4 linked regions of the Kluyveromyces lactis genome follow. The protein of the gene in region 3 interacts with the protein of the main gene of each other region in a pairwise test. Links are inferred from orthologs where the notes say so. Each region holds a gene or a part of one and is shown on either strand. Other genes may lie near its edges. The genes, in order: SAS2, CAC2, RLF2 and MSI1.

Region 1 (5,364 bases), on a different chromosome or scaffold from region 3:
CAATATCAGCTTTAGCATTGATTTGTACTGCTAGCTATGATGAGGCTCATGAAAAGAAAATTGAGTCAACCAAAAAGCCTTCTATGAAGGAGATGTCTTCTCAAGTGGATTCCTCTCCATTACGCCATTCTCAACATAAGCATGACACTTATGCTTACAGGACGACGTTGATAGTAGTGCCGATGTCCTTATTGAATCAGTGGCAATCAGAATTCGAAAAGGCCAACAAGGACCTCAAAAAACGTTGTGAAATTTATTACGGGAATAATATTAAAGATTTAAGGGCGTATGTGCTTGGCCCCAACGCTCCCTCAGTAATCATAACTACTTATGGGATAATTCAGAGCGAATATGGGAGAACCTCAACATCGGGATTATTCAATGTGGTCTTCTTTAGAATAATATTGGATGAAGGTCATACGATTAGAAATAGAAGTACAAGGACATCTAAAGCTGTCATAGCCTTGCGGAGTTCCAGAAAATGGATCTTGACAGGAACACCAATCATCAATCGACTTGACGATCTATTTTCCTTAGTTCAGTTCTTGAACTTAGAGCCCTGGTCTCACATCAACTATTGGAAGCGTTACGTTTCAGTTCCTTTCGAGAAAGGTAACTATGCGCAGGCATTTGATGTCATAAATGCAGTATTGGAGCCTGTGCTTCTCAGAAGAACGAAGAATATGAAGGATGTTGATGGCAAACCTTTAGTCTCTTTACCTCCAAAGGAAGTAATCGTCGAAAAGTTGCAACTTTCATCCAGTGAGAAAAGAGTTTATCAATCCATGTTAGAAGATGCGGAAAACTCTGTTAAAGAAGGGTTGGCCAAAGGTGATCTATTGAAGAACTACACTAATATCTTGGTCCATATTTTAAGACTTAGACAAGTCTGCTGTCATTTGGATTTACTCAAAAAGACACCAGATCTCGGAGACCCAGATCTTGAAGATCTGGAGAACTCAACTCAAAACATCTCCTCCATCCTCATGCCAAAAAATATTAAGTCACCAAAAAGTTCCATTTCTCAAGATAAATTGGATGCTTTAAGTGCGAACTTTCGTGATATTCACAGCGCTTCAGAGCAATTACCTTCTTTTGAATGTGCTATTTGCACCACTGAGTGTATTGAACCGCTGTCTGCGGTCTCTATAACAGAGTGTCTCCACACATTTTGTGAACCTTGTTTGGCAGAATACATTGAATTTCAGCAAAATAAAAAACTATCCATCAACTGTCCATATTGTAGAATGCCGATCTCAGAAGCTAATGTGTTAAAGCTAAAGGAGCCAATTGATGCTGAAAGAGGATATGAACTAATTTCGTTTCATTCACATTTCCAATCGACTAAAATTAAAGCTTTATTGAGGCATCTCAAGCAAATACAAGAAACTTCTCCTGGTGAACAAATAATCGTATTTTCTCAGTTCTCATCATTCCTAGACATTCTAGAAATAGAGCTACGTTCGCATTTGCCAAGAGATCAGGTAATTATTTACAAATTCGACGGACGGTTAGATATGAAGGAACGGACTAGAATCTTGGAACAGTTCCACGATAAGGATTTGAGTTGTATAAAGTTATTACTTTTGTCGTTGAAAACTGGAGGTGTGGGATTAAATTTGACTTGTGCATCAAGAGCGTTTATGATGGACCCATGGTGGTCTCCAGGTATGGAAGATCAAGCGATTGATAGAATACATCGTATTGGTCAGCAGCAAACTGTCAAAGTTGTCCGGTTCATTATCGATAATAGTGTAGAAGAGAAAATGTTAAGAATACAGGAAAGAAAGAGAATGTTAGGGGATATTGTTGAGGGTGATGAGGCAGAAAGGAGACAGAAGAGGATCGAGGAAATCCAAATGTTGTTTCAATAGACTATCATGACATTCAATCATATAGAAGCCTTTTAGGGCTTTGCATTTAAGCTGTTATTTAATTCGTTAATCATCAAGTAGTAGATATTCATCTTTGATCATAAATCCATGGGATACCTTGTTGCGTCTTGCCCATGAACGGATGATATTGAGTCTTATTTCAGAATCACTTAAACAATCAAGATATTTGAGAGCTTGAATTATATCATTGATTCTAAAACCAGTGGCCTCGGAAAGATCCTTCAAAGTGACCTGGGCCACATCTTTCAAATTACCTTCAGTCAACTGCCAAACTATTGAGAAAGACCAAAATTTAAGATAGCCAATTAAACCGAAAGGAGATAGAGGAACTTCAGGACCCGAAATCAGACCCTGACATCTTGATAAAGTGTAGGAAAACTCAATCAAGAGAGTACCCAATCTTCTTCTTTGATAGGGCGGAAAGACAAGAATACATGCAAGGTTATTTTGGTGGTAGGAATATAAGTCTTTTGAAAAAAATGCCATCGGTACTGTAGAATTGTTCTCATACACAATATAGAATTCGAAATGCTTAACTTTGAAGTAGACAGACTTGTTATCAAGAAATAGCTTAGTAAATAGACATAAGCATTGGCAGAAAACTTCATGCTTAGAACCTTTTACCCTTCGTATAGTGTATTCGGGGCTTCTGTATTTTATTCTACCGGGTGGCTTATTCTTATATCGGCAAAAGCACTCATGTGCGATTAACTCTGCTTCATCATCAGTGTACTTGAAACAATATTCACATACGTATAGGGTATCAATCCAATACTGATCTTCAAACTTCTTTTCAGTAGGGCTTTGTTTTGCGGTGTGCTCATTGTTCGATTCCTTGAAGCCCAAGGTCCTCTTATTTCTTCCAAAATAAACATTACTCCCGTACCAAGTTGCAAATCTTTTATTCAAGCCAAATTGGACGTGCCTAATATTAGGCTTGTCAAGAATACCATATATTTCTTCATCCTCTGTTGAGCTGTTGTGCTTATCAGGTTTGGGAACCATTCATTAATGATTTGAAAAGAGGCAAAAAATGCGATTTATCACGTTTCCCAAATTTAATGAGTACTTGAAAACCCAATTAACGGTGGAATCAACTGCTCTTTGAACTTAAATGTACAAAAGATTGCCTATATCTTTGAATTATCAAAACGTTGAAAGCGACTTTCTTTTTTTTTTTTTCATCTTCCTTTATGGCAGAAAAAGCTTTAAAGCTCATCGCATCTCATCGCATCCAAGCTCACCTGCATCTATATATCAAAATCTCGTTGATAACAGGCTGGTAGTCTGAATGTTATAGGCCTCTGTGACATTAACAGTCAAGAGAAGTACCTCGCACGTTAAACGGTCAAAAAATTGAACAACAAACATGGGTACCTATAGGAAGCGCTGGAATGAGAAAGCACGCGCGGGTCAGATGTCTAAGTTGAAGGAGTTGAAGAGAGTAAGGAATAGGCAGTTCACCCGTGCACTTGAAAATTCTTCCGATGCTGATTCTGAAGAAGGTAATTCATCTGAAGATGAACATCATGAATCACCCGATCATCAGGAAGATACGAACGCTGCTGTATTGAAACCCATGACGGAGGAAGAGAAACAAGAGAAAAAGCGTAAATTGGAAGAGCTATTCACACCTAAGGAAACGAAGGTCTCTAGGACGAAGAAAAAAAGGTTAGAGAAGTTCATCGAGCATCAATTGAAAAGAGAGGAGAAAAAAGTTTTGATAGAAAAACTTCAGGACTATAAAATTGATACTAAGCTTTTGACAAGTTCTAAGATTTTGGGACAAGGAAGGCAAACTAAGAGGCAAGGGATTGAAGAAGCCCTCAAATTAGAAAGAAATGGACGTGGTGATGAAACTACCAGGGAAATTCTTTACGATGAAACTGAGGTAAGGGATTGGTATCAAGATCATCCAGAAACTAGGCCCAGTCAGGAAAGCACAGCTGAAAATTGCAATTCGGATAGTGATGAAACGGACCATACCAGTTCAGATCACCCTATTTCGGCAAATACTGGGGGATTTATTGATAATAGACCCAGTAAATTTGGTGGGTCAGGTTTTGGTTTTGGATTCGGTAATGCAAAGGTGGTGAATAAAAGGGCCTCGAAGAAAAGGTATAACTGGAAGCAAAAGGTAGAGCAAGAAGAACGTAGAAGGCGTAAACTGGATGATGATCAGGATTTTGAATCTGACGAAAGTGAATCAGAAGAACATTCATCCACTGCAGAAAGTGAACCTGATGAGAGTGAATCTAATAGTAATGCTGATAGTCACAGCGATGATGAGTCGAGTGAGTCTGACGGCGAGGAAAGATCGGATTCAGAAATAGCGCAGTGCAGAAACGTAAGTTCTTCAGTTGCCCAAGAATTTAAAGAGTGGGCAAATCAGGAAATTAAAAAGCTTGAAGGTAGAGATGTAGAAATGGTTATGCCTTCCTCCAACATCAAGGTCGATAGGACCGAGAGACCTGAAGACTTTGAAGATGGACTCAAAGCAGATGAATTTAATGTGAACGAAAATTCAACACGTAAGGCTTTTTATGTCAAGGTACGGAGATCTGATGCTGTTCAAGCTGTGAGAAGCGCACTACCTGTTTTCGCCGAGGAACATAGAATTATGGAAGCTATCCATCATAATGACGTTGTAATCATTTGTGGTGAAACTGGTTCAGGTAAAACGACACAGGTACCGCAGTTTCTTTACGAGGCAGGATATGGTAATTCGTCCTCAACTGACACGCCTGGGATGATTGGAATAACACAACCTAGAAGAGTGGCCGCTGTCTCTATGGCTGGACGTGTTACTAATGAGATGGGTGATCATGGCGAATATGTAGGATACCAAATTCGGTTCGATTCTTCTACCAAGGATAAAACAAGAATGAAATTTATGACTGATGGTGTTTTGCTAAGAGAGATGATGAACGATTTTAGACTTTCTAAATACTCTTCTATCATTATCGATGAAGCTCACGAGAGGAACATCAATACAGATATTTTGATTGGTATGTTAAGTCGTTGTGTCAGCTTACGTGCTAAGGAGCATGCAACTGATCCGGCTAAGTACAAAAAACTTAAACTAATTATCATGTCTGCCACCTTGAGAGTATCAGATTTTAGTGAAAACCCTACTTTATTCCCTGTTTCTCCACCTGTCTTAAAGGTCGACGCCAGGCAGTATCCAGTGGCTGTACATTTCAATCGTAGAACAGCTTATAACTATGCTGAAGAGGCTTTCAGGAAGACGTGTAAAATACATCAAAGGTTGCCTCCTGGTGCTATCTTGGTTTTTATGACAGGACAGCAAGAGATCACGCACATGGTAAAAAGGTTAAGAAAAGAGTTTCCTTTCCCCAAGAAACATCAAACTCTCATTCAAAATGACCACATACCTACAGTGAAAATAGATGCCAAAACTGCAGATGTAGAAGCTGAAGATATCGACTTCAGTGTCAGAGTTAGAGAG
Region 2 (5,786 bases), on a different chromosome or scaffold from region 3:
AAGGGTTACGAAGCAGGAGCTTGCGAAAGGTGTCAGGGAACACTTCGATAACTATACCGTTCGAGAAGCGGAATGCCTTCCTCAGTTTATTTACAAAGTACAAAATCAGAAAAAGAAGTTCAGAATGGAGTTTAAGGGATGAAGCGGTGGTGTTGCATAGCTCACTTCCATCTTGGGCATGTAATTCGACATCAGCCTAATGGCTTCATCTATTTGTAACATATATGAATAATATAGAACGTAATAATCAAGGATATCAACGGAAATCTATTTGGAACTAGCGTTCTATACGCTGATTATATGCACTGCAGTGAAAAGGACAGATTGCACAGCAAGCTGTACACACGTCCTTCTGCTCTTTAACATTTTTTTCCTTTACAGGTCGTTTACACAATTTTTCTCTTTAATAAGAAATGAATGATATTAATTATCATTCACAAGTAAAAACTGTAACAAGACAAGTATTTGCTCCATAACCAGGCATACTGTGTTTTCCTGTCTCCAGAATAATTAATATCACAGCAATATATTGAGAGCAGACAGAAATTATTGTGTTAGATAGAGTATCTGAATTAAAACTTTAATCATGGCGGATCAAAGTTTCACATTATTTATCATTTTGGCTATTGCCGGTTATATTGCTGTGAAATGGTTTTTGAGCAATAACGAACAACATCCATCCATCCAAATCAATGGTTTTTCTTCGCAATCAGACTCTGCCACGGCTTCAGGTACCGCCGCGTCAAGTAATGCCGCTTCAAGACAGACTAGAAGGCGTATTCGTCGTAGAGTCAACGATGATATGATCGAAGTGGTACAATCCTTGGCTCCACATCTACATCCAGAACAGATCAGATACGACTTGGAACAAACCGGATCAGTTGAAACTACTGTAGAAAGATATCTCTCGGGTAGAGATATGCCATTCCCACCAGATTACGTCCCAGAATCTGAAACAGGTGGCAATTCTTCCAATGGTCAAAATCAATCGACCGGAAGCTCTGTAACTACAGGAAACAATACAAACAACAATAGCACATCTACAGATCCACGGAAAAGATCCAACATTAAAGCTGACAATCTGCTAAAAAAATTCAACGTGGATCCACAAGAAGATCTTTCAAACTTGAATCCCAACGATCTTTCCATAGAAGAAAGAAAGAGATTAATGGTATGGCAGGCAAGAAAGAGTATGGAACTAAAGGTGGAAAACAGTGAATACCTACAGTCTCTACTGAAATGATAGGTACAATTGTGTAGATATCTATAAATCGTACATATACCAGTAAATGAAATCCATTCTCAATTACATGCTAGAGTGTGTCCTTTACAGCTAGATGTCTTTCCAGAGAGAAATGTTGATCACGTGACTAACCATTTTTTTGCATTTCCTATTTTGTTTCTATATTGTTTCCCAGACCTTTCTGTTTCTACCTCCTAGAACTGCCAACACCCTGATTCTTGTCACGGGCTTGGCAATAAGGCAATCGGCTGGTGTCTCGAATCTTAACTCGGCGATTATTACTTACTACTATACACAGTAATTATTGCGTAGAGAACAGTTCAAAGTCACGTGTTATTCCGCCATCTCCCTCTCTATAAACTAATCTAGTTCTATTTAGGTTGATCTGATGTGACGAGAGTAGGTTGAACCCTGCGTTTGAGCTTCTCCTTTCCAACTGTGGTTGCAGCTTCTGAGACAAGCTGCGAGATCGATCTTTTAGCTGGTGAAGGGTTTGGAGTTTCGGCGGCACCGGTACTAAGATTTACGATACTAGCCTTTTGTGATGATTCTGGTTGTGATTGTGATTGCGATTGTGATTCGAGTTCCTTCGTCAAGATTGGTATAGATTGATCTTTCAAAGGTGTGCCAAAATCATTGTCTGTGAAGTGAATATATGAGCAGAACCCGTCTGTGCTTGATATCATTAGTAATGTTCCGTCTTGGCTCCACGCAAGATCTGTTATGGGGGTATAATGCAAATTTCCTGCGATCGCTATAGGACTGGTATTTTGTGTGTCGTACACCAGCACTTCATTCGTAGTTGCTACAGCGAATACCAGTGTATAAGGTGCTTTCACCCATTCAGACGCGGTTTCGTACATGATAGGATTAAACTTGACCACTAATGCCGGTTTTTGTAGAAAGGGTAGTGAAAACACGGGTTTGTTTGAATTTGAAGTTAGAGAAGCCCTTGTGTAAATATATACGGCATTCGCGTACTCTGGGTTATTATTTGAGGCATCCGTTTGTTCATCATTTCTGAAGACCCCAGCTGGTACACATAAGAGACTGCCGCATGGTGACATGGACAGCCTTCTGAAAAATGACGGAAGGGTTTCGTTATGGAATAAGAAAGTCACCTTCGACTTATCAAAATCGAGTTCTTTTTCACCAGGATTTTTCCTCCTTGGTAGTTCTGATTTTAATATTTTATTCACTAATTGTAAGCCCTTTACTTCGTTGTCCTCATAAATCATCTTACAAATCGCCAATGATCTGTCTGCAGATTGCGATACGATAAATTCTCCCTGAGGGTCCCATACAATCCCTTGCACGTAATGATTATGCTCCGTTATATGTCCTACCACTTTTCCCTGATCCACATTGAACACTCGTACGGTGTTATCCAAAGATGCAATAGCTATGCACGTTCCCTGAGGGTTCCATGAAATATCATAAATCTCGGCATTCGAGGCTGACCCTGACCTTAATCGCTTCCATACAGCCCACGATTCCTTAAAATCTTGGAATTCATCATCATCTACACCAAATTCCTTTACCATAGTCTCGTTCTTCTTCCATAGTAACAATAACCCATCGTCTCCCGCCGTGGCTAACGTGTCACCTTGCTTATTGAATCGACAAACGTTGACAGCTTGTTCGTGCTGCGTCAACGACGAAAGAAAATCAATTGTCTCTATCTTCCCATCATTTTCGCTCTCATTCAATTGCCAGACCCTGATTTTATTGTCACCTCCCGAAGTGAACAACCGTCTAGTGTTCTGGTTAGTCTCTGATAAGGGTTGAAAACATAACGAGTATATCGGATGAGAGTCATGCCAATATATCTGTAAACTCTCGGATTGTACCATTTTTTCCACTTTCTCTACTCGAACTGAGATAAATTGAACTAGTCCTATCTTATGAGCTCAGAATTACTCTACTAGTGCGTTAACAAATTTCGTTATAACTCTTTAGATCAACGTTACCTTTCCCTTCAATGCCTGATATTCTTTTTTTTTCCAGATTGTTTACGTGTATCGTCTTTTACTGAGGAATTCGATTTCTTAAGGAAAGAATATCAGCGATACAGCAGCAAATTGGATATTTAAATGAATATATACATTGCATGATGGGAACCTTATGCCATTAGAAATATTCCAACACTGAATAAAGGTAGTGAACACGACATACAACCCCCTTCCGCCTGTCTTTTCTCTTTTTTTCAATATAATAGCCCTATAGTAGACTGAAATAACAGTTTTTTTCAATATAAATTCAGTCAGTTTGAAAAAATTTTCAGATCTGTCACCATTACTTTAGTCATAACTCAGGCTCGAGCTGTCTGAAACTGTACTCACAGATCAGATCAGATCAACTGTTGCATCTATTGCAACATTTTATACTTGGGAAGTTTGTAGTGGTATCAGCAGATACCAATGCGTTGAGATTCAGGAGAATTTTACTCAGCGCATCAGTCAAATTCCCAGTAAACTTTTCTTTCAATAGACTACTGGAGCCGTTATTGTGCTTAAATGAACTGCTAACTGGAGAGGTGTGGTACTTCGGGTGTGCACCAATGAAATGTGCATCTGAGGGTCCTTTGAAATACAAGGAACATCCTCTTGGAGTCTTTGTTTACAATTATTTCAATTTATGATAGATCTGTTCGTGAGAACCAGTTCTATACCCTTTGGATTGGAATACAAATGAAGTTCCCCACAATTTTATATTTAGTTTAAAATTATTTATTATAGCCTTGGGTTTATGTTTGTATGTATGTTCTTGTTCTTTTTGTCCTTGTCGTTAACCAGATCTAGTGTCTGACGTCTTGTTTCTAGTACTTATTCAACGTCGCATGCTGTCTTTGCCAGATAATGGTATTTTGGAATAGCTATTGCTGAGAAACTGGGTAGTGAGTGGTTTATTTCAGCAAGAGACCCCCTGTTGTTGATGTGGTCCATCACACTTTGCATATCTTCATCTGAGTAGTCCGAAGTGAACAATATATGGGTTCCCGGTTGTTGGGTCGAGCCGACGGAAAATGCCAATCTTGATGATTCCAAAGAGATTGCTTCACGGATGGACCAGTCTATGACTTTGTTGGGACAGAAGCATGTAGCATCACCAATCAGTTTCCTAAAATCTTCTGTAGACGCTTCTGGTGTCACGGAGTTGTGATTTTGGAACATTTCCACTTGGGACCCAGGTAACGAACCTAATGGTACTATGATCGGAAGTGAGAACGGATACGCTTGATTGGTGTCTTGCGACATTTGAGTAACCAGTTGACGGATCTTGTGTGTTTCTCGGCAATCCAGCAAATACCGAACGGTATTCGAATCTTCATCCAAGGTAAGATTGTCCATTTGGAACCCTAATGAACAAATTGGGCCATGAACCATTTCAAGACCTTCCAACTTCGAACGAACATCCTTGTTGTGTTCGTTAAATATCTTTGCAACGGTACCAATCTCCTTTCCTGGAGGTAAATAATTTATCACCGGTTTTACCGCAATTAATGTATGATTGAAATTACGAGAAGTTTCCCTCTTGTAGTCCTCAAAGAAAAGTTCGAACCCTTCAAGTTGCTGTTTCCTATCATCATATATCACAATCTCATTCACTTCCTTGTAGAAATCCATCACAGAACGCAGGCATGCGATCTTATACTTCATCGTGGTTGGGTAACCAGCTCTCTTAAGGAAAGCAGAATGGAACAATAATTCCCGGCCGAACACGGGATGTTTTAGTAACTTTTCAAAAAGAGGGCTGAACAACAGCTGCTTTCTTCCTGTCATTAGTATCGTCAACGTACCGTTATCCCTATCGTCCCAGGACCTTCTAGCGGAGTCTACGATGTCTTTATTCCAAAATGCTGAGTCATCGACAGAACCCTTTATCCATTCGTCAACCAAAATCTCCAAGAACCTTGGCTCTGACCACCATCCACCGTTACTGAACACATGCGGGCTCAACAGTGACGAATATAACTCTGCTGAATACAAGTGTGGGTTTGGTGCTGGTGATTTAAATAGCGTATTATCGAAATCGTAGATGCATATTTTGTGAATCCCACCGCGTGGTAACGCCGGAACGTGTAAAGCAGAATCAACACTATTCCACTCGAATAAAACACTGTGTTCCATACTCTTTCTTGTTTTAGTTGGTTTGGGTATCCTATAGCACCTCTCAACACCAATAAATAGGAGATGTAGCTACTTTATTTGATCTATTTATTGCAGATCAGCTTATATCATTGTGATGTATATAGTTCTAAACAGACAAAAGTTGTACATTTCTTTTCGACTATTTGAAGAGTTAGGCACACACAGATCTAAGAGTGATACAAATAAATATACAAGCAAATAAGAGAGAACAACCCCAGAGGCCATGCAAACGAAGATTAGCAGCTTTGTCATTCCTAGATGTTCAGTTCCTTTTTCACCAAGTCGAGAAACTAAATATAATGTAGATAATTCGATTCTATTACGACATTTATCTGGCACTCTTCAATCTAAAGTTGTGATATACTCCCAAATACGTAGTGAAGACCTCCTGG
Region 3 (6,098 bases):
ACAACTTGAACGACTACTTCACGTATCCTGGTACTACATCAATGTGTCTAAATCTTTCCTCGTACAACTACTTAGGTTTTGCACAATCAGAGGGTCAATGTACCACTGCAGCGCTAGAAGCCACCGATAAATACGGTGTTTATTCTGGTGGTCCAAGGACCAGAATTGGTACTACTGATTTGCACGTCATGACCGAAAAATACGTCGCACAATTCGTAGGTAAAGAAGATGCAATTTTGTTCTCTATGGGGTACGGTACCAATGCTAATTTCTTCAATTCGTTCTTAGATAGCAAATGTTTGGTTATCTCTGATTCTTTAAATCATACCTCTATTAGAACTGGTGTCCGTTTATCAGGAGCAGCTGTTAAGACATTCAAGCATAATGATATGCGCGCATTAGAGAAGTTGATCCGTGAACAAATTGTTCAAGGTCAATCGAAGACTCATCGTCCTTGGAAAAAAATTATCATTTGTGTGGAAGGTTTATACTCCATGGAGGGTACCATGGCTAACTTGCCTAAGCTTGTTGAATTGAAGAAAAAATATAAATGCTACCTTTTCGTTGATGAGGCTCACTCTATCGGTGCAATGGGTCCATCTGGACGTGGTGTATGCGATTTCTTTGGGATACCTTGTAGTGATATTGATATTATGATGGGCACACTTACGAAATCTTTTGGTGCCGCTGGTGGATACATTGCTGCTGACAAATGGATCATCGACAGATTTAGATTGGATTTAACAACACCTCACTATGGAGAGCCTACTCCGGCTCCTGTGTTGGCCCAAATCGCTTCATCTTTAAAGACCATTACGGGAGACATCAACCCTGGCGAAGGTCAAGAAAGATTACAACGTATTGCATTCAACGCTCGTTATCTACGACTTGCGCTTCAAAGGTTAGGCTTCATTGTTTACGGTATTGCCGATTCTCCGGTCATTCCTATGCTATTATACGCACCAAGTAAAATGCCTGCATTCTCCCGAATGATGCTGCAACGGAAAATTGCAGTGGTTGTTGTCGCATACCCAGCCACCCCATTGATCGAGTCGAGAGTCCGCTTCTGTGTATCTGCGGCTCTAACAAAAGAAGATATCGATTATTTATTACAGCATATCAATGAGGTTGGAGATAAGCTCTTCTTAAAAGTGTCCAGTGGAAAAGCAGGCGGGTCATTAGATGGCAAACCTCCAAGGTGGAATATTGATGAAGTCATTAAGAGAACACCTACTGACTGTAAGGACGATAGCTTCTTCAGAATATGATTAACTTCGTCCGGTATTCAGGTCTTTTATTTTTGTTGACCTATTGATAGTATTTTCACCAGTTTACCTCACAATTAATCAAACCTGTCCGTCATTCAGACATCTGTTTTTATATGATGATCTTCCTAGCATTCGTGGTCCTAATTCGCTATTCTTATCGGTCGGCAGCCGTCTTTATACGTCCAAGGACATACTCATCACAAGATCACAGTAACTATAATTATTCATAACCATCATATACACTCAAACATAAAGATTTCAATTTTAAACACACATAGTATGTAAAAGAACTTCTCAAGCTATCTTATTCGATCTATTGAGGGGTGGTTTTATAACTGAACCCTTTTAAGCTTTATGTCATCATTAGCCCAAACACCAACGGCAATGACATTACTTATCATCAGAAGAGCCGAAAAACCAGGTATCAATTCAAGTAGTCCCGCTGTCAATCCAAACGCCCATAGTTGGCCTAATCTGGAGTAATATTCGTCACGTTTAGCTTTGTCACTTAATCTTCTTCTGATCATCCATACATCGTAGTACCCATACGCTCTGTCTGGTGTTTGCAATATAGTAGCGGCCAATGGGCCAACGATTGGAAGTAAAGATATTAAAGTTATGAATATGAAAACAAATAACCACCTTAAAAACGAAAAGGTGTTGAATGGCACATCATGGATCCAAAATTCTATATTGTTCAAATGCAATTCAGGACAGGCAGGAAGCTGTCGTCTCTTTAAAGAATTTAGCGTCTCTATCTGCCCTTTCCTTAATAGAGTCAATTCGAATATATCATTGGTGAACTTGGGTAACACAAAATTCCGAACACCTCTCAACGTCCATGCATTACATTGCAATAGCATCTGTAACACGGCAATTGCAAGACCTACTGGACCTAGCAATAAAATCTGCCAACCGGCCAAAATCGGTAGAAGAAACGCAGCATACAACCACAACAAAGCGAAAAATAAGATCAGGTAACAGACACTTGTAACAAGCCCGTAATACCAGTATCTATAACATATTAAAAATTGAAAGACTCCCTATTAATTGGCTTTGTTAGTATGCTTTTTTAATTGTCAACATGACCAGCTAATATCATGATTGAAACAGCGGTTTGAGTCATAGGTACATACAAGGAAAGGATACCATATGGACTTCGTCTGGAAGAAATCATGAAAAAAGTTGGTTCTGATGCTGTCAACTCTCCAGATGACAGTTGCATATAATTCAAATAAAAATCCCACGGTCAAATTATATGTTTCCTTCCATATTGAATCAATATCTCGAACGGTATTGTAGGAATTCGGATCTCTTCCTCTATTGGGTCTAGTATAATCTGGGTAGTCTTGTAAATAGACCGGATCCATGGTATATCAGATATAACGCTTTGAGAGTGTTGCTCTTTGTTTTGGTTGTTCTTAATGGGAAGAATAAAAAGACTGTTTTGATTGCGACACAAATCTTTTAAATCTGACACTTCTTGGTAATTATAAGAAACCAGTATAACAGCAGACATAAGATATCTAGTATTAAAAAATAGACGTCTCTTTTAGACTGAGACATCGAAGGTTTGTGTAGATGTGTGATATAGTTGTGTTGGAATAAAAGCACCCCATAACAATTGTACGCTGATGTTATACTATTTACTTACGACTAACTTAAAGGAATACCGGTCAGTAGCGCTTCGTCATTGGCTGTCGGTACCTCTGGAGTGGATAATCTTGGTGTCGGAGAGCTCTTTAGATGTTCCCAATTGTTCATATCCTTTACTTCCCACCTACGGTCTCCCTTGGTAGATTTTGCAGCATATTCTTTAACAGAGTTCTTTATCGTATCCTTCTTATACTGTGGTAGATGCTTTTGGATAATCTCAACAACGGTGCTCAACGAAAATGTACAGTCATGCACTTGTTCCAGCAACTGCAAAAGATGTTTAGGTTCTGTGATTAGACTTTTGGATTTCTTAGTTGCTGGGTTTTTCGAAGAAGTTGTTTCAAATGAACCGTCCTCCACAGCAGGTCTCTTGTTGGGAGCCTTATATGGATCTACGGGGAAACATTGATCTTGGAACATACATTCTACGGAGACCAATGCAAAATACTGTTTAGACTCGTCATCGAGTTTATCCGTATCCTTTCGCAGTTTTATTGTCGGTATCAAGGGACCGACAAACTTCTTACGTGCCATATTTTCATTTTCATCTTTATCTAGGAAGCCATCCATTTCATTGTCGCCTCCCTCTTCATCCTCTTGATCCTCATCCTCTTCATCTTCATCATTTTCTAAATCGTCGACACCGCCTTCTTCTTCCTCTTCATTAACCCAATCGAGATCAGAATCATATCCATAATCGAATCCTGTTCCCTCAGTACTGAAAGGATTATTGTTTGGTAATGTCAATTTCTTGGAATACGTCCCCACATACGGAGGCCTTACATTTTCATAGAACTTGATGAATTTTTGTGGTACTTCGTTAAGTAACGCTGATAATTCTTCGTCCGTCTTCTTCTTCGAAGTCATGGTTTGCAGAACTTCTACTGCCGTGAGCTTTATTTCGTAACCGTGGTGGCATTTGAAAGAGTTCATCCACTCTACGCTTGATATGCGGTCTTCTGTCTTCATCAGTTTATCTATACGTGGTACATTTTCTTTAAGCTTCTGAGGGTCCATTTTCCAAGTATTGGCCATGATAACGTCTGACTTGATATAAAAGGGTAAGAAATGCTTCTTGAAATCACTTGTAACTGATTGCTCAGAAGAAGATACTGTAGCTTTTTTGAAAAAGTTCCCGATTCGGGACTGAGATCTCTCTTTAGTCTCCTCCTTTTTACGTTTTTCTTCCTCTTTCTTCAGGCGTTCTTCCTCTTTCTTTAGTCTCTCTTGTTCTTTCATCTCCTTTTCTTCTAATCTCTTCTTTTCACGTTCTTCTTTCTCCTGCTGCCTTTTCTTCTCACGGTCTTCCTTTTCTTGAAGCCGCTTTCGCTCGCGCTCTTCCTTTTCTTGTTGTTTCTTAAGCTCGCGCTCTTGTTTCTGTCTGTCACGCTTCTGCTTCTCTTCAAGCTTCTTCCTTTCACGTTCCAATCTTTCTTCTTCTTTCCTTTTCGACTTAGCTTGCTTCTCTTTTTGTCTCCTAAGTTCTCGCTCTGCTTTCTTGTTTGCCATCGTGGATGCAGAGTCATTGTCTTCTGCACCGCCTGTCTTCTCTGTTTCTTGTTGACTATCTGCTGCATCTAATGTAGCAGTATCACTTTTTTGAGAGTCCATTTCCTCGTCTTTTTCTCCTTCCTCCGGTTCTGAAGAGTTTAGTGGTTCTAAAGTATCAGATTCTATATCAATTTCGATAGCAGAATCCTGGCTAATAGCATTGACAGTAGTAGCCTTGTCAACTTTCCCAGTGTTCTGAAAGAATGAGAGAATGCCCCGTCTCTTCTGGTTCGATACTGATGGTTTCATTTCACTCATGGTTGGGCTACCGACGTATTGCAAAGATGACAAGATTATCAAAGGTATATGTGTTCAGCAGCTTATGCCAGGCTCCTATTGAGGCGGTTTGTAGAGCCTCAGCGTCTTGTCATTGAATGGTGATCTGTATAACTTCTCTAGTGATGCGTCAAAACGCTAAATGGAATTCTTTACATATTTCACTTTCGTGTCAGTAGGGTAACATTGTTGTGATAATTGTGTCACAGGACATAATACAGATGATGCGACTAAGAGATAAGTTTATACAGTATTTTAATGATACGGGTTAACATCCCAGGCTTAGGATTTTTAGAGATTTATATAATAAAGGTTTGGAACTAGATGAGTTGTTTTGTATAAGGGTATTGATGTTGCTTATTATAGCGGAAAAGCTAGCGTCACAACGAATTAGTCAGTGACGTTGTGTTTTCCAAATCAGTTCCAGTTATACGTTCAGCCAAAAGTAGTTGTAAGGGATCTGAGAGGTCTACGTCCAGATCATCATCGGCATCCATGTCTTCCTGTGAAGCTGTCTTGAATGGTGTCAATTTGATATTTCTCATGCGTTTCTTTGCCGACCTTGCTGGTTTTGAAGATGAGTTTGAATAACCAATAGGTAGTATTTCAGGATTATGAGACTGTCGGTTCAGTTTTGAATCTGATTTTATCTTCAAAGGAACCTGTTGTGGCTGCTGATATTTCATTTCTCTTGCTGCCCTTTGGTTAGGATTTGGTAATTCTCCATATAGAGAAATAATCACATCCAACATCTGATCTCTGATTCGTTTCATGGAGCTATGACGTGGTATTTCATACTCTTGTGGATCCAAAAACAATGTTGCCAAGTAATCCATTTTTCTCTCCACTGTTTTCAACTCTAATTCTCTGTTCAACGCCGCTATATTTAATCTCTGTACCCTGAGTAACCCTAAGAGTACATTAGAAAATACTTCACATTTTTCGTCCTTCTTCAAGGAGTTATCATAAAACTTATCGAGCTCTTTTTCTATCGGGACCACTTCTTCATTTAAAACATGGGAGTTTTTATACATGTTGATGGAATCCCGAATAAAGGGTAAAATATTCCTAGTGAACAACATATGGTTTTTTTCCTTTCTTGATATTGTAGTACTAGCAACGGTTGAGGTCTCTCTAACGTCATTTCTATTCCCATCGTATGATGATGATGAGAAATGGGACACGTAATCTGAATTTGTCACTGTAGCCCCAGACATACCGGGAATTTTGTTGCTTTCCGGATGGTAGTACAAAGGGTCTTTTAAACTTGTCGTTAATCTTAGATCAATTGCAGGTGGTGTCAGTTTAGGTAAGAGCATTGACTTTAATTTGGAAATCTCATGGTTC
Region 4 (5,454 bases), on a different chromosome or scaffold from region 3:
TGGATTTCCAGGGTACCCTCTTGTTGGCAACTATTAAGGAAACAGATGAAATTGAGGCAGCAATTAAAATCGGATTGTATTTGTAATGATAGAACCAGGCAAATATAATATAGAGTAACATAGTATTAATAATCATGTGGTAAAACTGGAAGAGATCAAGTAAAACAGACCTGTACGAGGAGTGAGGCCTCAAATGCCCATGTTCAATTTTCAACTTCTCCCATTGTTTGTAGAAACTTGGATCAGTGTAGGTATCTGGGAACGGCTGTTTCAACCACAATAACCGTTTCCATTGTTTCCCCGCAGCCATTAACAACTATAAGAGAAGACAATTTGTTATTCGGGAAACGACTAGCACAATATAGTCACTACAGTCTGGACAAAAGAAACCTGGAGATTTGCCGCTATACTCGCGATAAATCTCTGCGAGTGCAGGAAGTTACTTCAGTTCAACAGTCGTCGCTAGCTTTTTCGAATCATTAAAATTAGAGATTGATACGTAAAAAAGCTAATCCATTACAACTTAATATCACAGCACAGCCAGCGGGAGCACCCGCACAAGTAAGATACAAAGGATATAGCCTAACTTACTGCTCAACTCATTGCTACATATACCCAATGGATCAATCTAGCAGGGAGACATCAAATTCGTTTGATCAGGTAACCAGGCAATCTTCAAACAATGAACGAAGACCTACGGATTCTAAAGCCATACCGAGAACTTTACCCAAGGATACCGTTCCAGACGACGTACATGCTACACCAAAAGTGGATGACAAGGATAGGATATGGACAGATATAGATACACTAGATGATGTGAAAAGAATGGCCAGAGAGGGCAATACTGGCCTTACTTTCCCGGATAATTTCGAAGAGGATATTACCCGCTTACGCCAGATGCATGCGAACTTGATGCAGCACATGAAGAGACAATCAACAGAGACCCCAGGAAATCTTGAAGAACAACAGAAACACATCAATGATATCGTAGATACCATTGAGAGATATAACTGAATAAATACTTCAAATCACGTGATGAATCACGTGCCACAATTACCCTGACTTTTTGTTGAGTATTAGTGGAAGCTAAGGTTTCCAAGGACCACCGGTTTCTTCTACGTGCCTTTCACTATTTGTTTACTGGATGGTGCGAAACAAATAAAAAAAGCGGAAGCTGACAGAAATTACAAGTTGTTCCGAATAACGATGGGATATACGAATTGATGATTGAACGTAGTATGGAAAATAATAGGAACGTTGAGAAAAAAAAGGATTTGGTATTTTCCATCACCTGCGAATTTGAGGGAAATGGTTAACTTAAATCGTGGATTCTTTATATATATATATTCTCTGGTGAAGGTTCTTGATCAATTGCTTCTTCCAATTGGTATTTCGATTGTATTCTTGAGTCACGTAGAAAGGAATTTGTGATTAGGGTTTAATCGCTGAATTCTGAAGTGACCTTTTAACTGACCGTAAAGTACAATAAAAGGTTTTAAAGTTCTGTTAAGATAGATTCTAAAACAGAAATAAAAAGACAAATATCAGAAATGGCTTCTAAGAACACTTACTCTGACTTCAAGTTGGCAACTGAATTGCCAGCCTGGAACCAATTGCAATCTTTGTACGAACAAAAGGGTAAAAAGCTAAATGTTAAGGACGAGTTTGCTAAGGACAATTCTCGTTATGAAAAGTTTGCCAAGACGTTTGTCAATTACGATGGTTCAAAGATCTTGTTTGATTTTTCCAAGAACTTAGTTGACGATGAAATCTTGAAGTCTTTGATCCAATTGGCTAAGGAAGCTAAGGTCACCTCATTGAGAGATGCCATGTTCAACGGTGAACCAATCAACTTCACTGAAGGACGTGCTGTGTACCACGTTGCCTTGAGAAACAGAAGTTTGAAGCCAATGTACGTTGATGGTACCAACGTCACTCCAGAGGTTGACGCTGTGTTGCAACACATGAAGGAGTTCACCGAAGAAGTCAGATCTGGTGCTTGGAAGGGTTACACCGGTAAGTCTATTACCGATGTTGTCAACATTGGTATCGGTGGTTCAGATTTGGGTCCAGTTATGGTGACTGAAGCATTGAAACATTATGCTACCAACTTGAAGGTACACTTTGTTTCTAACATTGACGGTACTCATATTGCTGAAACTTTGAAGGATTTGGACCATGAAACCACTTTGTTCTTGATCGCATCCAAGACTTTCACCACTGCTGAGACTATCACTAACGCAACTAGTGCTAAGAACTGGTTCTTATCTAAGAACGGTGGTGACCAATCCCATATCTCCAAGCATTTTGCTGCTTTGTCCACTAACGCTACTGAAGTTGAAAAGTTCGGTATCGACACAAAGAACATGTTCGGTTTTGAAAACTGGGTCGGTGGTCGTTACTCTGTTTGGTCCGCTATTGGTTTGTCAGTTGCTCTATACATCGGTTTCGACAACTTTGAAGCATTCTTGAAGGGTGCTGAGGCAGTAGACAAGCATTTCGTTGAAACTCCATTGGAAGACAACATTCCATTGTTGGGTGGTCTATTATCTGTTTGGTACAACAACTTCTTCGATGCTCAAACACATTTGGTTGCGCCATTCGATCAATACTTGCACAGATTCCCAGCTTATTTGCAACAATTGTCTATGGAATCCAACGGTAAGTCCGTCACCAGAGGTAATGTTTTTGCAAACTACTCTACTGGTTCTATCTTGTTCGGTGAACCAGCTACCAATGCTCAACATTCTTTCTTCCAATTGATTCACCAAGGTACCAAATTGATTCCATCTGATTTCATCTTGGCAGCCCAATCTCATAACCCAATTGAAAACAACCTACATCAAAAAATGCTAGCATCTAACTTCTTCGCTCAAGCTGAGGCATTGATGGTCGGTAAAGATGAAGAACAGGTCAAATCAGAAGGTGCCACTGGTGGTCTAGTACCTCACAAGGTCTTCTCTGGTAACAGACCAACCACTTCCATCTTGGCTCAAAAGATTACTCCAGCTACCCTTGGTGCTTTGATTGCTTACTACGAACACGTTACATTCACCGAAGGTGCTATCTGGAACATCAACTCATTTGACCAATGGGGTGTTGAATTAGGTAAGGTTTTGGCTAAGGTTATTGGTAGTGAATTGGCCACTGATAACAAGATTTCTTCTCACGACAGTTCCACCAACGGTTTGATCAACCAATTTAAAGAATGGATCTAATGTGAGAATGCGATGCAATTTCCTTTTCACCTAAGATATGCAGTGAACTTAGAATTCCACATCTTTACGTACAACCAAACTAAATAAACTTCTTTATCAAAACGCTATGTGCAATGAATGACTTATATACGACAATGTCACGAATATCAACTACATTGGAAGTAATTGTTTTCACTTAATCAATCTCTTTTTTCATATTTACATTAAGGAAAATGAAAAATGATACACGTCCAAAAGATTCAACAACGCGTGATGTAGTGCGAGAGTACAGACATCGAGATTGTGACAAGATATAACAATACCAAGCTAGCTCATAGCATATAGAGGACGCAACAATGAGTGAGTTGATTATAGAAGAACCTCCAGAACTGGGCTCTGGAATTTCTAATGAAGTACAGCAAAGGTATACCAATTGGAAGAAGAATACAAAGTTGCTCTACGACTATTTGAATACAAACACATCGAAATGGCCATCTCTATCCTGCCAATTCTTCCCAGACCGTACTCTTACGAATGACAAACAAAGGATATTATTATCTTCATTCACATCGCAGCAACTTCCGCAGGATGAGTCAATTTACATCGGGTCCATATCTACCATGAATCATATGAAATGGAGTTCCATCAATAACTTCGACATGGATGAAATGGAATTTAAACTGGATAATTCATTGAAACTGAACGACAAGACATTAGAAGAAGAGGTACGAATAACGTACCCTGACGGTGATTGCAACAGATGTCGGTACATGCCTCAGAACCCCGATATAATTGGGACTGCATCATCAAATGGATCAGTGTACATATTTGATAGAACGAAACATGGTAATAAGATTTCCACAGGCAGGAAATTCGAAATCGAATGCAGAAATAACGGTGACGATGAACAGGACGAGAGTTTATCCCTTGCATGGAATTACCAATTGGAGGGTACCTTAGCTACATGTCAAAGTAACGGGAAAGTAAAAGTATGGGATCTTACTAAATTTGATAAGTCGAAACAGAGAATGGAAATACCTGAAAGAGAGAGTGTGATGGACGCGAATGGAGTCAATGATGTGTCATGGATGGTAAACCACACTTCCATTTTAGCATCATGCGGAGAATCCAACGTCATTGGACTGATAGACATAAGACAAGATACGAAAATGGACACATTACACCGTACTACACATACAGATGGAATCAATGCCATCGAGTTTAACTATAAGAACGATATGATATTGTGTACCGGTGATTCTCAGGGCCAGTTAAAGATCTGGGACATAAGAGATTTCAAGGAGCCAATAAAGGAATGGGAACATGGAGATCAGGATCCCATCTCTGCCATTCAATGGAACCCTCAGATACCGCAAATACTGGCCACTGCAGATCAACAGAGTGGATTAGTGAAGATATGGGATGCATCAGGTGAACAAGAGGACTCTAACGCTGAAAACAACATGCTATTATTTGTCCATGGTGGTCACATGCTCGGAGTCAACGACATTTCATGGTCACAACATGATCCATGGACCATGTGCAGTGTATCGAACGACAATTCAATTCATATCTGGAAGCCAGCAGCAAACTTAGTAGAACAATTGTAGATTAAACTGGAACATGTCGTCGATATATACATGTATCGGTATTGTTTATTCGCATATAATAAATGTGTCGCACGACACAAGAAACACGTTACTCTTCCTTGAATTCCTTTCACGTGACCTATAACCAATCATAGCACTGAACATGGACCAAATCACCGGGTACGAGATGCCACTCTTTACAACTCTCTACAACTCTCTACAACTCTTCTATGCAAACAGGTATACAAAGGATATGCCAATCTACCATGTTTCAACTCTATACTAGTTGCACAAGATACGCCATCAGCAACTGTTGTATGTTTTATAGTTGTATACTACTTTATGCCAATACTTTCCACTACGTATAGCCCATTTTTTATTTTCCAGCAGCCAGGCCAATTCGAGGGAAAACAAAATTTTCTCTTTCAACTTTTGGCGAAACTTTTAGGATTTGGAAATACCTACACTTTTCACACATCGAAATCCAATTAACTGACCTTTAATTAGTTAGAAGTTATAGACATACGTTTGTGTTATTCTTGAATTGTAGTTCATTTTGAGTTTTATTTCGACTAGCTGATTGACTGCCCTTTCATTTAGATCCTTATCTACTTTTAATTTGCCGTTCCAGTTTCACCAAAGAGCTTTAGGAGAAAGGTGCGAACTTG

What was found.
Region 1: the proteins of RLF2 (region 3) and SAS2 interact in binary tests that used the Saccharomyces cerevisiae proteins (3 or more experiments, as listed by UniProt). The link is inferred for Kluyveromyces lactis from reciprocal best matches to the Saccharomyces cerevisiae genes RLF2 and SAS2.
Region 2: the proteins of RLF2 (region 3) and CAC2 interact in a two-hybrid assay, tested with the Saccharomyces cerevisiae proteins (2 studies listed by BioGRID). The link is inferred for Kluyveromyces lactis from reciprocal best matches to the Saccharomyces cerevisiae genes RLF2 and CAC2.
Region 4: the proteins of RLF2 (region 3) and MSI1 interact in binary tests that used the Saccharomyces cerevisiae proteins (3 or more experiments, as listed by UniProt). The link is inferred for Kluyveromyces lactis from reciprocal best matches to the Saccharomyces cerevisiae genes RLF2 and MSI1.

The regions. Positions count from the first base shown.
Region 1 is NC_006042.1:1,597,797-1,603,160, reverse strand, and holds SAS2 (histone acetyltransferase), read right to left. Parts: upstream 2,901-5,364; coding exon 1,941-2,900; downstream 1-1,940. Other genes in the region: DNA helicase RAD5, read left to right, coding at 1-1,874; ATP-dependent RNA helicase ECM16, read left to right, coding at 3,265-5,364. UniProt on the Saccharomyces cerevisiae protein: Histone acetyltransferase (HAT) subunit of the SAS complex, a multiprotein complex that acetylates 'Lys-16' of histone H4 and 'Lys-14' of histone H3. The SAS complex is however unable to acetylate nucleosomal histones.
Region 2 is NC_006041.1:980,979-986,764, reverse strand, and holds CAC2 (Cac2p), read right to left. Parts: upstream 3,097-5,786; coding exon 1,615-3,096; downstream 1-1,614. Other genes in the region: SAP30 (Sap30p), read left to right, coding at 1-142; CUE1 (Cue1p), read left to right, coding at 587-1,243; KLLA0_E11155g (HAD domain phosphoesterase family swiss army knife RNA repair protein), read right to left, coding at 4,069-5,373; KLLA0_E11133g (HAD domain phosphoesterase family swiss army knife RNA repair protein), read right to left, coding at 5,723-5,786. UniProt on the Saccharomyces cerevisiae protein: Acts as a component of the histone chaperone complex chromatin assembly factor 1 (CAF-1), which assembles histone octamers onto replicating DNA.
Region 3 is NC_006040.1:177,515-183,612, reverse strand, and holds RLF2 (Rlf2p), read right to left. Parts: upstream 4,734-6,098; coding exon 2,925-4,733; downstream 1-2,924. Other genes in the region: serine C-palmitoyltransferase LCB2, read left to right, coding at 1-1,268; RRT8 (Rrt8p), read right to left, coding at 1,598-2,131; KLLA0_D02068g (uncharacterized protein), read right to left, coding at 5,132-6,098.
Region 4 is NC_006041.1:2,091,693-2,097,146, forward strand, and holds MSI1 (Msi1p), read left to right. Parts: upstream 1-3,553; coding exon 3,554-4,807; downstream 4,808-5,454. Other genes in the region: GPI2 (phosphatidylinositol N-acetylglucosaminyltransferase), read right to left, coding at 1-310; KLLA0_E23497g (DUF5315 domain-containing protein), read left to right, coding at 619-1,014; PGI1 (glucose-6-phosphate isomerase), read left to right, coding at 1,551-3,218. UniProt on the Saccharomyces cerevisiae protein: Acts as a component of the histone chaperone complex chromatin assembly factor 1 (CAF-1), which assembles histone octamers onto DNA during replication and repair.